Linked DNA regions of Caenorhabditis elegans. The protein of the gene in region 2 interacts with the protein of the main gene of each other region in a pairwise test. Each region holds a gene or a part of one and is shown on either strand. Other genes may lie near its edges.

Region 1 (5,677 bases), 5.2 Mb from region 2:
TATCTGCAAATTCTTTCAACTGAAATCTCCAAGAATACCAAAACTCGGGGTATCCATGAATAAATAGCATTAATGGTTTGTCATCGGATCCAGTTTGGACATAATGAAGCCGCACTTTCTGCAATTTTTCATAGTGCAAAATTTAAAAAAAACTATTTTTTACCTTTAACTTGATGTACCTGCTGTCCCATCCTTCCAAAACGTTTGGCTTCTCCCGCTGCTTTTTCTCAAACAATGATCTTCCTTTAACCGCAAATCCCAGGAATAGAATTGCCGAGAATTTGACAAAATAATAAAATTGTAAGAGGCGGACGAGTATTCTATAGAGAAACATTGTCAAGTAATAAGAAAACGAACCGAACGCAAGGTCGTGACGGGAGAGAGGAAGACTACAATTTATCGGCCGACACAGACACAAAAAGTAAAGAAGATAACCAATAATTTTGTAATTGGGACAATTACATGTAGTGTGGCACACAAACTTCTTGTATTTAGAAAATTTGTTCAAACATTGTATGTATATACTTTCAAACAACATTTGGTCAGTTTTTAGAATGCGATCATTTATTTTCTAGTGTCATTTCACATCCTATACTTAAATATTTTGTGTAAGCGTGTTGGCTTGCAAAACAAGGAAAAACAACAAATATTTAAATCCTTTTGTGGATTTCGAGCTGGTGGTTTTAATATGCACCCACATTTTACAGCGCCTTCTTTGTTATTCTTTCATGTCTACATTATCCCAACTCCGGAGTTAGCTCAAAATTTCCTTTGATCTCCTGAACTTTGAAGCTGAAGCCACAGACACATTCTATTTTTGGTTTTCATTTTCATATTTTGCTCTGACTACAAATTTACGTCTTTGTTTTTCTGGTTTTTCCGGTTGCTTGGCAACAATTGCAATCGCTTATTTGTGTTCAATAACATAAAGTCATACAAACGGAAATCGAAGAAAAATTAATGAAGAAATGTAAAATTGAATATTTATTTTTTATAATTGAATCAACCAGGAGCTTTGTCGAATGTTGATTAATTTTGGCAAGCAGCCTTTTGGATAAATGATTCATTAACTTTAAAATATAAACGAAAAAAACTGTTCCTACGTTGAGAGTACTCCGCTTTGAAAATTATGAAACTACAGTAGTTTGTGACTAGGTACATCTTGTGACATACTGTTGCACAACATTGCATCAAGAGTGGACTATATAAACTGAACTCATTTGAAGAAAATCTTTCACATTTTGTATTCTCAGTCTTCAAATGGATCATATGATTTTCTAACAAGTCGCCCTTTCGACGTCCTGTCAATGCAATGTGTGATCAAAAAGGTTAGTCAGAAATACATTTTATTGAACAGGGTAAACATTGGAAAAAAGCGAAGATTACTCAGAAAACTCCGCTTATCAATCTTCAATTCTTATCAAATGACGTTATGAAGAATTGAAGCAAAAGTCCAATGTGCGATTGTTTAAATGGAATGTATATGTTCTATGAAGTTGTTATTATACCTATGTGTTAAATTCAAATATCGAAAATAAGCAAATGTTAATAAATTTGCTCATAGAACGCACAAGTAATGAGTTCACACCATATCTTGTCTGTATATAAAAATTCACAATGTATTTGAATAAATTATGTCGTACTTGATAAGTAGTGACGTCGGTTGTGATATAAATGCTTGATTAATTTTTGTTTGAATCACAATAATAGTTATTTTTCATACATTTCTCTGGGACGGTACGGGAACAATTTTTTACATGTACTTCAGGTATTTTTGAGAAGCTAACAATTTTCCATATCTAATTGGAAATCAATCATCATCAATTGTGACCTCCTGCAATCCAGTTTTTGTTCAATTAGAGATGCTTCATGAATTTTGTCAATGTGAATCAGAATACTTTCATACTATTTATACTTTTGTACCGATGATCACCATCTGAGTAACCCAACGATGGGTCAGAATGTGTGTTTCAGTTCCTTGATCTTTTGGTTGTGGTCTGAATCAACACATATTCCTCTCCACACTTCGTTCACATTGTTGGTCGGCTGTGTCGGTCGGCGCACGCTCACTGTCCTATTCAAACACACTCTGCCATCCCTAATCCTCTTGCGACACACAGTGTCTTGTCGACCCCCGTCGTCTGTCTCCGACTGGGTGACATCATGTGAAATCTTGCCAAATGTTGTGCAATAGTGGGTGGAGCGTCCGCTCTAACGTGGTTTTTGGGTTTTCTCTGCCTCATTCTTTCGTTTTGACAAATTGTCCATTGGTGACTTTTTGTTTTTTTTTTCTATTTTGCTTACGGGAATCGATTGTTTTGACATGCTTTTGCCTAAACGGTGGTATTTTTCAGCAAGGGACCAGTTTCAAGGTCCCACGACCGCCACCGTCCGCGGAGCAATCAAAACGTCCATCAGTTCGCTTTCATCGCCTTCTCCAGGTTTGTCATATACAAATAATAATTACCTTTTTAAATCATTATCTTATGACGATGACGTGGCGATCACCAATATAAAAAATCAATACAATTCAAATTAAAACGAATAAAATCGATAATTAATATATTTCAGAAAAGTTTTCCCCACCTAGCTAGAAGCTAGCTCGTTTGTCACTAGATTTCGACGGCCTTCCCGAAGATTTCTTTTCTCCACAATGTATCACGCAAAGACAACCACCGATTTTAACATGTTCAGTCAACAGTGTTGCTTCATGGACGAGGCCAAGTATGGAGCCGGTTAGTTTTTCATAATTGGACGAATATTTTATTTTTACAAATAATTGTTCAGCTATCGGCTCCACTAGCCGTCGGGTTTTCGGCTTGGCCTCCGTCGCCGCCACTTCCGCCGTTGGCCCACTCACCGCTCCAGGATGCAGTCCACGCCGACCACAACCATCGTCGGATCCTCAACTCTTGCAGAAACCTGCCGGATTGCCTGACGACTACAGTTCCTCAGCTTCACCAGATCAATTCTGCCGAGCAATCTCCACTACAGTTCACGCATCAACCAAATTGCGATTTAATTGTGGTTCTCGACGAGCAAACGACCTACACGACTACAATGACACGACGTTCCCTACCGAAAGCGGACCGTTATTTGAGCGGTTAGTTGGCGAATTTGAGCGAATTTGAATCATAATTTGAATAATAAAATTTTCAGAGCCCAACATGAGCACGCCACAAGCTTCCCACGGGAGCTTTGAATTTGATGTACCAGAGTACACATCCTTCGACTATGCATTCGATTTCCCACCGGTTCCAGAAGCCTTCCCACCAGCCGCCAATAGTTCCTCGGCTGCATCTCCAGATGCAGATTTTCTTGATCTGGATTCTCTCATGAGCTGTGATATCACATCTCTTGACGCCTACATTCATGATGATTCCATTGCCTCTCCTTCTAACGCTTCACACATTTCTCCTCCAGCGTCGGACATTGATCCAGTTGACGAGTTCTTTCCACAGCTTGTGCACAATAATAAAAGTAAGCTTAAGACAGTATCACACTAATTAGGAAAATCCACGTCATCGTCTGAACCCATTTATATATTCTTTAACTCAGCTCTTTGTTCAATTTAAACATTAAAAACCATTTCAGTTCAATCATCTTCCTCCTCAACAGTTGAAACGACAATAACACGTGGGCGCAAAACTTCATCGGTATCGTCCGATTCGTCATCGGACTACCGTCATAAACGGGATAAGAACAATCTAGCATCCCAAAAATCTCGTCAAAAGCGCCAAGCCAAAATTCGCGAATCAAAGGAGGAAAGAGAGCGTCTAGAGAAGCGAAAAGTTCAACTTCAAGCAATGGTTTTAACCTTGGAGACTCAAGTCGAGGACTACAAGCGATTGGTCATGATGTTTGTAAAGCGATAAATATATTAATCAGATCGCGTTTTTTTCTCATTTTATTGTGTGTGTACATAAATTCAAATTTAATTTTATTTTGTTCTCGTTTTTTTCCTCATTACTTATCCCTTATCCCTTATTCACCAACCTCATTTTATCTCATCTCATCTCAATAGCAAATAGTATTTATATTCCTTTTCATTAATCAAAATAAAGTAGAAAAATAGAAATAATTAATCATAATCATCAGGAATATTAAGGAAAGTTCCAATAGAGGGAAAGTGAATAGCACTAAACCCATCAGTACCTCCAACTCCAGCAGCTGGCACGGCCCAATGTGCACCATAAGCGATTTGGCCCTGGAGCCAATCCACGTTCACGGATTCCGGGTGATAATAGTATTTGTTAGCATGATCGCGATTATGTGGGTCATCTGGATTCGGCTCCCAGAGCCCTGGTTTAGTGAATGGTGATCTACTACGAGGGCGATGCAGGATTCCTCGAGAGTCGGTTAAAGAGTTGTATTGATCTAATGCATTGGAGAACACACTGTCCGAAAATACTGGAACTGCTGCACCACCTGTAGTTTTTTTCACGCGTGGAAGATTGGGAGCTGATTGATCGGCATCTTTTAGAACTTGATCTCTGAAAGAAGATTTGCGACTTGGTTAGAAATAAATATAACATTTTCATTATTTCTTAAAGCAATTTATAGAGTCTAACCTGTGAGTTTAAGAACCTAATCATATGAGTTTGTCTAAGAGACAAGGTCGCAATTAAAGTTCTAAACTCCAGGGCCTGCAACTAAAATTCAAAACCTAAAAACGTAAAACCTAGGACTTGAACCTAAAAATCGGAACGTCAGAATCGGCGGTTAAACTTAATTAACTAAATATTAGGATTTTATGTTTAAATCCTAACTATTAGATGCATACCTTTAAGTTAAGATTCCATCACTCGAATTTTTATGTGTAAGTCGTTATTAGGCTTTTAAGCGCAGGTCTGAAGACGTTTGTTCTTAATTTTCAAATCTTAAATTCGGAACTCTTCCTGATTTTTTGACCCTTCGACTAAGGCTTACATAATCTAAATCTTATGCTTTTAATTTAACACCTTCTATAACACATTCCCTCTAAAAAGTTAGCAAAACAATTTTGTTATTTAACTCGAAAATAGAAATAATTCACCTTGAATTAGTTTGCTTTGGAAGTGGTGGCGCCGCAATTAGATGAACTGTTGTTCCATTCTTCAAAGTTATTACTTTATCAACGTTTTTTGTTGTAGTTTGGTTCAATTCCATTTCAAAATCGACAGTGTCATTCTTATTGTCTTCTAAAAATAAACTAGTATCATTTGGCCAAAAAACCATGTCAGAATCTCTCTTGAATCTTCGAGCAGATGCCGGTTTATACGGTAAAGTTTCACCAGAAGGAGCCAACAGTTGGAATGTTGTGGACGTCTTTGGTCCTTCCAAAACTTTTCCTTTTTCTGCTTTCGAATAGATAAACTGAGATGCATAATGGTATCTCTCGTATTTCGGGCATCCATAATACCAAAGTCTGCATGTGTTTAGAAATAGAGGCAATGGAGGTGGGTTGCAGAACTTTTGAACCGCTGGGTAATCGTAGTCACATTTGCATTCCTAGATTAGTTTGAATTCGAATTAATTTTAAAAAAGATCAACAAACCTTTGTACAATGTGGAAATATTCGTTCATCACAATCTGCGGAACACGGTCTTCTTTTCAGCAATTTAGCACGTCTGCTTGCTGCTGATGATTTTCTAATGGACTTCAATTTTTTTTAAATACACCTAATTTCATATTAACA
Region 2 (8,059 bases):
TACCTGCCTGCCTATCATTTACACCTACCTGCCTGCCTATCACATTTTTGAATCTTGATTTGAACTCCATTGTTTGGTGCTTAAACATCACAGATAGGAGAAATGCTTTAACAATAGTATTACTTCAATAGTATTACTTCGGAAATTTTTAATTTCAGCTACAATGCATCATTTTGGACACAATTTCTTGCTCTTTTTTGGAGATCTTGGCTGACAGTAATCCGGGATCCAAATCTGCTTTCTGTCAGGTTACTTCAAATTCTTGTAAGTGTGTCACTGCTTTATTACTATTTATATTGTTGTATAGATAACTGCATTTATAACTGGTATAGTATTCTTCCAAACTCCAGTCACACCTGCTACGATAATATCGATAAATGGAATAATGTTCAACCACATTCGAAATATGAACTTTATGCTTCAATTCCCAAATGTTCCGGTACCAGGCAGCCAATTAATTTCAGAATTTGAATTAATCTTCAGGTTATTACGGCAGAACTTCCAATTGTACTCCGAGAAAATGCAAATGGAGTGTATCGAACGAGTGCATATTTTCTTGCGAAAAACATTGCAGAACTCCCTCAATACATAATCCTTCCAATTCTATACAATACAATTGTCTACTGGATGTCTGGGCTCTATCCTAACTTCTGGAACTATTGCTTCGCGTCGCTGGTAACAATTTTGATTACAAACGTGGCAATTTCCATTTGTAAGCTGTGCTCAGTTTGACCTGTGAGATGACAGCTGCTTCATTCTTTTCTTTTCAGCTTACGCTGTCGCAACGATCTTTGCCAACACTGATGTAGCCATGACAATACTTCCAATCTTTGTAGTTCCAATTATGGCGTTTGGAGGATTCTTCATAACATTTGACGCCATTCCATCTTACTTTAAATGGCTCTCTTCGCTCTCTTATTTCAAGTAAACATGATGATTTGTGTTATATAATAACAAATCTTTTAGATACGGTTATGAAGCTCTCGCGATCAATGAATGGGATTCGATCAAAGTGATTCCGGAGTGTTTCAATAGTTCAATGACTGCGTTTGCGTTGGATAGCTGCCCAAAAAATGGGCATCAAGTTTTGGAATCGGTTAGTGTTTTGGATTATTAGAAATTAATTTAGGAACATTTAAAAAATCTGTTTCTCAGTGTTGGATTACTTAACCAAACTAAATCGTAGACTTTTTGGTGTTTATTTTCTGAACATCGAATAATGCTCAAAAGAAGTTTTTCACAACGAGGTGGAACTTTCATTGTTCAAGCTTTTATGGTTTAAAATTACAGATCGATTTCTCGGCTTCGCATAAAATTTTTGATATTTCAATTCTGTTTGGAATGTTCATCGGAATTCGCATAATTGCCTACGTGGCACTTCTCATCCGTTCCTATAATAATACTTGAAAAGGAAATATTTGATTGTATAATTTATTTGAATACTGTTAATTTGAATTTTGTTAACATATTTTGTTTTGTGAATGTTGATGCCGGAAAATTGGAAAATTGGAAAATCAAAAAAAAAAGCAAGTATAAAACATGTTGAAAGTGATGCCTATGTGTAGAAAATGATACATATAGGAAGAGGTGATGACAGGGAAAAAGTAGAAGTAATTGACAATAAGAATATATCGAAAAATACCCATAAAATCGGGTGGTCTGTTTTGAGATGAATGGAGGTTCAGTAGTAAAATGTTACAACAAGAAAATAAAACAAAAAAATGTTTTTAAAAATTATGCGTTCGGAGCAAAAAGAGCAGCCATGGATGGACCTGCTGCACCAATTTCACCGTCAATCAGTCCCGAGTTGTTGTCGTTTAGTTCGGCAAGGAAGTTGTTGAGGAATGGAAGATTGAGCTCTTTGATATTTATTATTTCGGGCATCGTGGAGGCTGAAAATTATAATTTTAGAGAAGGTTCAAGTGAAGTTGGACTAGAACCCGTGACAACTCACCTTCTTGTTTCACATTTAAATTTTCCTCATTCTGATGTCCATTTTTCGACTCTTGCTTCACTGTCTTCGTGGCTGTCGATGTCGTGGCAGTTGATGAAGAAGATGCTGGTGGAGATCCACCTTCCAATTGTTGATTCACCATCATCATATGCTGCGAAAAGATGTTCTGAGCCATCATATCAGCCATAAAATTGCCACCAGCCGGTATATTTGTCAAGTTTCGTCCCATATTCGACAGTGTTCCGGCTGGAAGTCCTAGCTCGATTTCCCGCTGTCGTTCCCCAATTCTCGACACCAACTTCATCGCCCAGGTGAGCTTCAGCTTTACATGACCTCCATGCTCTTCGAGAAGGCCTGGAGCTCTTTCGAGTATGTATTGACGAGCCATATGCAGGGCCTGAGATGCGGTGAAGTGGCCACCATGTGGATCTGAGTTCTTCAGGGAAACCATGTAGTCAACGAGATCAGCATCAAGTTCATCTCCGATAAGCTTTGGACGTCCGCGACCACGTCCACGTAAGAATCCAGGAGAACCTGTCGAGTGAGCAGCGTTTTGTGCATTCAGTTTGAGCATATCGACCATAGCTGAAAAATTAAAAATTAATTTGTTTTGCATTGATAAAAAATATAATTCAAGTACTGCTCTAATTACTTAAAGTTAGATTTCCTTCCCTTTAGCATAATTGAAATTGGCAAAAATTTAAGAAAAAACATGCGGATCTACTTACATTGAGTGAACAAGTTGGCTCCTGGAGTTGTTGGTGTAGCTGGTACGGTACTAGAATGCATGTGAGCCACCTCATTTGGAGCCTCAAGATGATCATCACCACTTCCTTCCGAGGAGGGTCCTGGTGAAGCTGTTGAAGTGTTGGCTGATACTGCATTGGAATTTGTAATCAGATTTGGGATGGACGACAATGGAGTTGGCGGGACCAAAGCTGAAAATTAGAGTTTCTAGATTGCGCTGTGGTTGTATAGTGAACTTACGATTCGAGCTCTCCTTTCTCTGATAATATGAAGCAACTGGTGGTGGGAATCCAACTTTCCGGCTCTGCTTTCTCGCTGGTTCTGAGAGTCTTTCGGTATGAATCTTGCCTCCACCTCCACCATTCGCCATCTGATAGCCTTGTCCAAGCTTCAGAGGCTTCAGTTCAATAGGTTTTGGATTTTCAGAGGTCTTATTTGCTGATGGTAGAAAAGATGATCCGTTCTGTTGATCCTTGTGAACAACTTGTGATGGCAACTTGTTCATTTTCGAGAGATCGAGGAGAGTCTTGAGTTGCTGATCAGAAGCATTAGGGAATAGCTGCGAGAGCACTGATGTATCATTCTTCTGCTCTTCAGCTCCAGGTTGGTTGACTTTGGAGCATGTTGTACACTTGCATTGTGGAGCATGAAGATGGTTCATGATAGAGGATAGCTGGAAACATACAGTTCAATGGGTCCATGTATATTTTAAATTTCATAACACCACGATAAAATTATATTTTTTTTCCATTTTTCCGCGTCAATAAATGTTGACATTTAATTTATTTTTGGATCATTCTACTATTTCCTCCCACAAAACACACTATTTGACGATCGCTGTCTTCACTTCTTCTTCTTCAATCTGCTTCCTCTGTCCGGTATGTATACGATGCGTGAGCCCCGAGACAGGGCGACAGAGGGAAAGAGAGATGGTCAAATGTAAACTTTGTGAATGAAAATGAAAATGAATTCCACGGGTGAAAAATCGAAAAAAATAGTATGTGTGACGGACGGTAAGCCTATTGTTGTGTCTAGTCGAGTTTTTTTTTGGAAATTTTCAAAATAAATACTAGACACCTATGACTTGTTGCATTACACATTGCACTTGTCGAAATTGTTGTGCAAATATATTTTTCTACTTCTTTCATTCTCGATTTAGAAAATAAAATAATTTATTAATAGTTTTTCACTCACCTGATGCTGAATGAATACAAAATTTGTCTCGAGCTTGCTGACACGATCCACTAAGTTCAGATCTTCATCCTCGTCCTTCTGATTCACATCGTCTTCCATGATCTCCTACAAATATTTCAGAATTAGAGAAGAGCTTAAGCTTGATCAATAAGAATTGCAAAAACTCATGTATCAGATATATTTATATTCGAGCAATTCGTGCAGCAACCTAACAAATACCAAATAAATTTAGAAAATTGGTCACAAATTCACTCAAATTGAGGGTTGTATGTATGTGGTGGCTGGGTGCTGCTGTGACAGGAGAGGGAGCGGGCTGCTGGCTCAACCACCACCTCGCCTTCCCCCCTGTCCGTTTTCCTTCTCAAAATAAATAAAAAAATATATAAATATTTGATTGAAAAAAAATGGAAAAGAAATAGTGCGGTTTTAGAAGAGCGCCATAAAAAATACGGAAAATCGAAAGAAATTGGGTTTTTTATGTTTGTAGGAAAAATGAATGATTTGAGAGCACAAATTGAAAGAAGGGGAGGAGGAAAAGTTCGCTTTTTCAACAAAAAAAACAGTCTGTTTGTTTGTTCGCGCACTTTTACGGAATTGTCGTGTGCTCCGCGAGCATCTAACAATCATCATTAAATTGAAATTTTCTGTTAATTCCTATCATTATCAAAGAAAAAGAAGAAGAATTTTTTTCATCTATAATTTTTCAATAATTTTAACGATTCCGATAACTGATAATATTTTCGCTACGTTTTATTTTCTATCGTGTAATGTGTAGATAATAAAATAATAAAATTCTTGTGGGGACAACGCAAAAAAAAACCAAAAGAAAATTGTGCTCTTTTTTTTATTTTGAAAAGGTTTTGTTAAACAGAAAAAAGGGAGAGAAAGAGCGGGAAAACAAAATATGTGTGGTTCCGAGTCCCACAGAGTCCCACAGCGGCAAATTTTATTTCAAAGTGAGCATAAAGGCAAAACTAAACCTTTTCCAAAAGCACTTCTAAATATGGAAAACGAAAAAAAATGTTTCATAAATTTTATATCGAAAAAAAAAGTTGTTTGCCTTCTGAATTAGCACATTTTCATCGCTCTCACTCTCACCTCAATTTTTTCAATACATATCGAAAAATATGTCTATTTCTCTTACATTTAACGAGCGAGGCAAAAATGTTGAAAAAAATGAAATTGCGAGTTTCTTCGAAATAAATAAAAAATCATCTTGAGATGTTTGAGGCAAAAAATAAACGAGAGAGAAATTGTGAAAATGAATGAGGGAGGCGGGCAAAACGAGTGCGAAAACAAGAGAAAAGATTGAGAAATGTGTAATATATGTATTTGCGTTACATCTTTGAAACTGCGAAATTTTTTTAGAACACAATTTTTTTGTTGTTAAAGTCTAGAAATTTTAGAGGTCGCCCATGTAGGTTTTCAGACATTCAAAAATTTTGAACCTCTCTCCAAGCTTAATGTATAGTTTTTAAATATGTAAGACATGGGAACAAGTTTGAAAAAAGACATACAGTAAAATTTTTTTATATGTCTTGTAATTTTTTATAGTGTTCTTTTTTCACATCAAAACGATGAAAATCCAAACTCACGTCAATGTTGGAAGGAGAAGCTGAACTACGATCTGTACTGACGGATCCTCTGAACTCTTCACCATTCGCATTCGGCGTTAAAGTTGGCGGTTGGAGCATCATCTGAGTTGATCTGAAATATTAAGTATAACATATTGATAATGCGTTTAAAAAATGAAATTAAATTTCGAGAAAGCGAAGAAGAATGATAAGAAATGTGAAAAAGTGAGGGAAAAAGTTTTCAACAAAAAAAATTTGTTTGAAAAAGTCATCAAAAATATTAAATTCTGCTCTCTCACTTGTCCCTCTCTTTCTATTTTCCCGTTTCACCCCAAAACATATATTTTTGATAAGATGTATTGCAAAACTCGAAAATAGTACTCGAATACGGGAGACACTTCTCTGAATCACATAAAAAATGCGAAATTCTTTTTTTATTTTTGTGGCTGGTAGTGGATGACGAGGACACCAGAAAGAGAGGGAGAGAGATACTTGAATTGCTGATTTCGCATTTTACAAATTTTTAAATTTTATTTTATTTTTCCGGTTGCGCAGTAAATAACAATTTAATTTCACATAAATTGTTTTCTAGGTGGGTTTTGCAGAAAAAGAGAGAGGGAAAGAGAAAATAATGAAAATTTTAGAAAAAATTTTAATTAAATTTGTGTAACAAAATAGGCGAGAATTGGGGAAGGCGTAATCGGGGGGAAAAGTTTTTTTTTTGAAAAATAAAGTTTCAAGGCGCACGCGCTGAAAATTTTAACTGGCCACGATTAACATAAAACGAATTTATAGACCTCCCACGGAGTGTGAAAAATGTAATTTTCTGCCAAAAATGTCAGAATCATATTGTATTCTGAAGACTAAACGAATTTTGAAATAAAATTTTCGAAAAGGCGTTTAAAAAAGGCGCGTCAAAATGTAGCTTTCAAAGTGACTACCCCAGAAGCCAAAAGTTCGTTATAAATTCAGAATATTAAAATATTTTTTGCCAATTTTTAGTTAGTTATAAATTTCCTAACTGGAATTGCAAAGAGAGTGCAGAGTCTAGCTTCTCAGCACCCTATTGAGCGAGAGCTTTTCGTTTCTTTGCTACCTCTGTTGGAAGTGTGGAGAGTCTTTAAATTATCATAACTTTGTGATGCTAGAAAAAAGTTATCAACTGACAAAATGCTGGAAAATATCAGCTGGCTTTTCAGTTGAATATTTTCCAGAAAATATTTTTGTTTGTAGATAATTGAATTTGAAATATTGCATGAAAAAAACAGTACCTTAAAAACCATGAAAATCCCAATTTTTAGGGTTGACAACTGGCCATAGCGAAAAATCTACAATTTAGAAATGTTCACTCAAAAGTCCCAAAAGAGTCGCCAACGTGACCATGAGTTGACCCTTCCCTAGTCAAAATCTCATTATACCGGTGGAAGGCAGATGTTGGTTGCACACATAGCACATTAGAATAAAATAAAACATGGAGTAAAACGAAATGTCCATCACCACTGTCCACCATCAAAAAACCAAAAAAAACGGAACAAAGGATGGTGTCTGTTTGGGTGTTGGGAGTAGAGGGGTCAAATGAAGAGAAAGAGAGAGCAGGTGGCGTTTTGTAAACGAGAGTTAGAGAGGAATAGAGAAATAGAGATAAAGAGGGCACCAAATGACACATTTTATTATTCTTAAAGGACGATGTCAAACCCGCCCATCGCCTGCCACCAACGGGCAAAATGGAAGAGAGGTTATGGAAAGCACAGAGGAAAGAGAGATAGGATTAAATTTTATTGTATGTTACAATATTGGAGTGGGAGAAAGAACATTTGAATTTGGAATTTTACTTTTTGGAAAATGGAAAATTTATAATTCTCAATTAAATTCGCCTATCAAGTCAACCGGGGTATATAGAGCTAAAAATAGGAAGAGAAAGAATGTTGCCACACGTAGTGGTCTAGAAATACTAGAACTCGGCAGCTCTTTTAAAAATAAAGATCTTGCATCCAGAAAACTGTAGATAAGGTTTGCTGAAAAAAATTAATTAGTTCCCGAAGTTTAGGTTTTTATATCATGTAGCAAAAAAGGATGCTCTGATCCTGGCCTACATAAGAAAAAATATCGCTGGCCGAAGTTTTGGTTTTTCTAGGCCAAACGTTCAAATTCACATTCTGAATTCAAACATCTTCATAAGCTTTCCCACTTGCTCCACTAAACCCCGCCCAAAAGTTTTCAATGTTTATATATTTAATCGCTGTTTCCTCTTTTTCCCCTACCACTCGTGAATGCAAAATAAAAATTTTCTTTTTCGAAATTTTTCATTCAATTTTAATGTGGGCCTCGGTCCCCCCGTTGTCTGACTGCCAAACATCTGCTCTTACTCTTACTCTCTCTCTCTCTCTGTCATTCAATTTCTATATATTTCAAAATTTCTTATGATTTGGAAATATATAAGAGAAAATGAGAGATCAAGTGATTTAAAGGAGACGCAGCGTAGTAAACGACTCCCCATTTCATTAATTCATTCAAACATTTTATGGACGCATTTTGGGTTGAAAGAGAAAGAGAGGCAAGGGTTTTGGACACACACATACACACGACAGAA
Region 3 (4,375 bases), on a different chromosome or scaffold from region 2:
GAGCAGATCAGGTGATTAAAACGTTTAAAATGTATGAAACAAAATTTCGTGATAATTTTAAGCCGAAAAATCAAAAAATCGCCTCAAAATTGAAGGAAAACAATCGAAAAACGCAAAATTCTGGAAAAAAATAAATCGAAAATTCAAATGTCCGCAAACACCGCGCGGCGAAACTGCACACAATGCGCAGTATTGTACGCGCAAAAAACTTGGAATAATAAGAAAATTTAATATTTATTCGGCAACTAAAAATAGGAAAATTCTAATTTAATTGGAATTTTTATGAACAAAAAAGCCAAAGCGGAAATTAAACCCTACCGTACTACCCATTCCTAAAGGCGCATAAGTCTTTATCAGGCAAAGATCGAAAGAGATGCTATCAAATTGCGGTATGAATGGACAATATGTGCAAAGTACAAGCCAAGACAAACTGAATAACAATGAAACTGAAAAGGAAACACCAAAGTTGAGATAGGTAAATGTTGAAGATCCCGAAGGTTTTTCATCCAGGCGGGAGCAAAAAGTCTCTTTTTCAAGTTCACTTCTGAATATCTGTTTTTTCCATCTTTTTACATTGAAAAATGAATTTGAATCAATAATGAAATAAAAATAATCTTCATCAATCAATTGGAAGTCATAAACGAAAAGAAATCAGGAAAGTTATTGTTTTTCAATTGTGCGTTGGACCTTCAAAGTGATGTTTCCTCGATTCTTGAAATCTCTTAAACCTCCCTGCAAAAAAATACAAAAAATTACATTTAAAAAATCTAATTCTTACATAATTATAAATATTTATTCCATCGATCGATAAGTTTATGTCACCAGCATAAAGAGCTTCATCTACCGGCGATCCTGGAATAACCGAAAGAACCTTGGCGATGCCATTTGAGATTGTAATATGGCATCCAAAATGTTGACTGGATGTCTGAAAAAATCTGTATAAGTATACTGGATGTGTTCGGGATGTATACCTTGTTAATTACAACAGTAAGAATTTCATGCTCCGGGACCGGCTCCGGTTCCTCGCTTCCTTCGAGAATTTTTGGAATACAAGCCGCCTGAACCGGCGTCGCAGTTTTAATTTGCATAGTTTCGAGCTGTTGGTTGATCCAGGAGCACACGCCGAGCTGGGAGAATTTCTTAGTTGTCATGTTGTCTTCGGAGATTTGAATGGGCTTTGGGGTGTCATCTGATGACTTGAATTCATCGCCTTCTTCTCCATCGGATTTTTCTTTATCTGAAACTTAGTTTTTCCTCGCCCTTGACAGCTTCTTCAATTTCCTCAAAATCTTCATTTTTCACGTTTCCTGAGCTAGGAGGCTCTTCCTGTTCTTCATTCATCTCCAAATCATCATCATTGTCCGGTAGAATTGCGTCTGGCATGATTTTGGCTGTAAATTCATAGAATGTTCGAGTTTTTTTTATTTTTAATTTTTTTGTAAAAATTAATTTTTCGTTTTTTCTCAATTTTTTGTCCGAAAAAAAATAAGAAAAGTTCGAATTTCTGTGTTTTTTAAGGCGATTGAATTTATGCAAGTCAAGTTCAGTCGACATCCCGAAAAATTCTGATCGACGTCGAAACCACTCCAAAAGCTATGTTATAGTTTTATTACAACTGTAATTATTAAAAAGCAAAACGAATTACACATGAAATTATTGAAAAATTAATTAAAACGAGGTATTAAAGAGATGGAAATTCCGTTGGATCCAGCATCCCTCGATTACAAGCTGGACAAACGCTCTTTTCCTTGAACCATTGGGAAGCGCACTGAAAATTTTGAAATTTATTTATGAAAAGGTTTTTGAAATGAATAATCTTACATCGAGATGAAACCGACGTCTACACGAATTGCATTTGATAGTTTTTTCAGTCGAAATAACGTCGTCCAGACAGATAAGGCATCGAGCATCTGATAGCTCGGCGCTAGAGCTTGAAATTGATGAAGAAAAGGAGACTGACGGGATGGATCCTTTTTCGCTGGAGGTTGAAGCTTTGAGCTTCTCTGCGCCATTCAGAAGAGCTTTTTCATATTCTTGCATAAACGAATCCGAGAAGGATGGAAATTCCGGAAGCTTCTTGAGCTGAATTCGAGTAGAATTGTCGTTTGACATCAGAATCTCTTCAATATTCTCATCCAACACTAGCATGAAATTCTGGAATGCTCGATTGAACTTGATCAGCTCGTATTTCGCGGCACGCATCGTAACTTCATCTGCCGATAGTCTGAAAAATACAAATTAAAATTTTAGTTGAATGCCGTAATTAAAAATACCTGGCGACAAGTTCCGCGGCTCGTCGCATTGGATTTTCCTTCAAAATCAAATTCCTCGTCGATTCTAGGCCTTCCAACGTGTTTACCATGATTTCCAATCGATAAACTCTAAAACTTAATATATTCTGGGAAAAATAATATTTTTAAAACCAGTTAACGACAAAATCACACAGAGAAAGCTGCACAATTCAGAAAAGATCCGAAAAATCGATAAATCCAGCGTGGCAAACAAAACGTGGGCCTACCGTACCGCTTCAAGGGACATGGTATAATTCTTGCACGGGTTTCGCAACGATTGAGTAGTTAATTAATTTAAATGGAGGTAAAATTAAGAATTTCGAATTTGTTGAATAATTTATATATTTTTCAATATTATTTCCAAAAAAAAAACAAATAAAATAAGGAAAATTTGAATTTAATTGACATCTTTCTGAACGAAAAAGCCAAAGCGGAAATTAAATCCTACCGTACCCATTTTTAAAGGCGCACAAAGTTTTATCGGGCCAAGATCCCGCCGCGTCTTTGAAATTTCCAGGCACAGAATTAAAAATAAAAGAGGTTTTAAGAGGAAACCACATGTTGAAAAAGGTTTATTTACAATTCCAAAAAAAACACTTTTATAGTAAAAATACAATTACTTGATGCTTGGCTGTGTTAGTTCCTCGTTTCGATACATATTGACGGTTTTTGAACAAGTTTCTCGAATTGAACGTTCCAAATTAAAGGGAATTATGCAAATTTCTGGATTATTCGGAAAAAAGTTTCACTGATGACTGAAAAAGGAGAAGAATAATATTGTTGGATAGTATAAAAAATGACAAAAAGTAGAGTGCCTAGTTTTTGTCTTTGTCATAAACCTTTGATATTTTTTCCAAGTCATAAATTATTTTTTTTCAAGTTTCTTTTTTTTGAAACTTTGTTTCAAATTTGTAGTTTTTACAGGAATAAAAATCTAGAGGCTTCCGATTTCGGATATGGCTATTGACCAAGGGACGAAAAATGTGCTCCGACTATCGATTTCATTTTTGCTCCTATTTTTTGCTTATATGAGTCAAGAATACATACAAGAACCACTTATCGAGGAAAAGCATAAAACCGGTGGGAATATTGATCCTCACGCCGGTTATCATAGGTTTGTCTCTTCTATATGGTCACTTTTTCAAAAGCAAAACTGATTTTAGTTTTGCTATAACTTACTTCTTTTTCACACTTTCTTGCCTATTTGTTGCTCCAATAATTGATAAGATTTCCGCGAAATGGGGAATGGTTCTGAGATTTTCGGCATATATTGCATTTCAATATGGATTTATACATATGAATACTTATTATGTGTACATTACTTCAGCGAGTTTGGGTGTCGGTGGTGCTTGTAAGTATGAATCAGGAGGGCTTCGCAAATGTTCTGAAACTTTCAGTCATATGGGTTGGCCAGGGAAAATATCTGACGGAAAACTGCACAAGTGAAACTATTGAACGAAATATTGCTCTGACTTGGTTCATTTTTAAGTTCTGGTGAGTACTTCCATCAATTCTCTGTACCATTTTGATTTTTCAAGCCTCCTCGGTGGTGGAATATTTCTCTACGTTCTGTTCTACAATCAAAAAATGAACGAATTTCTGGAATCTGGAGATGTATTGTATTTCCAACATCCATCTGTTTCTAATTCTGCCAATTTTCAGTACAAAACATTCGTCTATATCTGTTGTTCCATTTCTCTATTGGCGGCGATTAACACGGCATTTCTGCCACAATCAGTGTATGTTCCGGAGAGAAAGAAGCATGAGACGTTCGCGAAGACATTGAGTGAGTTTATGGTAGGTCGCCTTTATGCCTGCCTGCCTACCACCTAATCTAAATTGAGTGTGAGCACAATGTCACTGACTGAAGATTATTTCATTTTGACTGTTAATGAAAGTTCAGCTGCTCGGCAGTAGGCACATATACAGCCCATCATCGGGCAGGCGTAGGTTGTCAGGGAAGTAGGCAGATTTTTTTTGCTTTTTGCCTGCCTATCTATCTACCTAACAGTATGAGACCTAGTTTTGAAATGTTTTCCAAAATTTTTCGGAGTAGAGAAAATTGCGAAAAAATCACATTAAAT

Evidence for each region.
Region 1: the proteins of attf-4 (region 2) and zip-2 interact in a two-hybrid assay, tested with the Caenorhabditis elegans proteins (one large-scale study listed by BioGRID).
Region 3: the proteins of attf-4 (region 2) and Y52E8A.2 interact in a two-hybrid assay, tested with the Caenorhabditis elegans proteins (one large-scale study listed by BioGRID).

Annotation. Positions count from the first base shown.
Region 1 is NC_003281.10:831,734-837,410, forward strand, and holds zip-2 (Transcription factor zip-2), read left to right. Parts: upstream 1-2,354; 5' UTR 2,355-2,441; intron 2,442-2,571; 5' UTR 2,572-2,726; coding exon 2,727-2,735; intron 2,736-2,787; coding exon 2,788-3,103; intron 3,104-3,159; coding exon 3,160-3,480; intron 3,481-3,594; coding exon 3,595-3,875; 3' UTR 3,876-4,078; downstream 4,079-5,677. Other genes in the region: ceeh-1 (Epoxide hydrolase 1), read right to left, coding at 1-118, 164-538; dos-3 (Delta and OSM-11-like), read right to left, coding at 4,082-4,493, 5,036-5,490, 5,537-5,638. UniProt on the Caenorhabditis elegans protein: Transcription factor that binds to the promoter and the enhancer regions of target genes. May act together with the bZIP transcription factor, cebp-2. Involved in responding to mitochondrial damage.
Region 2 is NC_003281.10:6,078,106-6,086,164, reverse strand, and holds attf-4 (AT hook-containing protein attf-4), read right to left. Parts: upstream 5,603-8,059; 5' UTR 5,590-5,602; coding exon 5,491-5,589; intron 4,001-5,490; coding exon 3,896-4,000; intron 3,375-3,895; coding exon 2,942-3,374; intron 2,893-2,941; coding exon 2,683-2,892; intron 2,540-2,682; coding exon 1,955-2,539; intron 1,893-1,954; coding exon 1,735-1,892; 3' UTR 1,417-1,734; downstream 1-1,416. Other genes in the region: ABC transporter ATP-binding protein/permease wht-1, read left to right, coding at 159-264, 308-439, 484-712, 771-924, 967-1,096, 1,291-1,407.
Region 3 is NC_003280.10:4,318,842-4,323,216, reverse strand, and holds Y52E8A.2 (RING-type domain-containing protein), read right to left. Parts: upstream 2,382-4,375; 5' UTR 2,363-2,381; coding exon 2,274-2,362; intron 2,225-2,273; coding exon 1,822-2,224; intron 1,769-1,821; coding exon 1,682-1,768; 3' UTR 1,600-1,681; downstream 1-1,599. Other genes in the region: Y52E8A.1 (RNA helicase), read right to left, coding at 661-732, 779-925, 972-1,151; Y52E8A.6 (UNC93-like protein MFSD11), read left to right, coding at 3,248-3,405, 3,455-3,642, 3,689-3,785, 3,830-3,905, 3,954-4,077.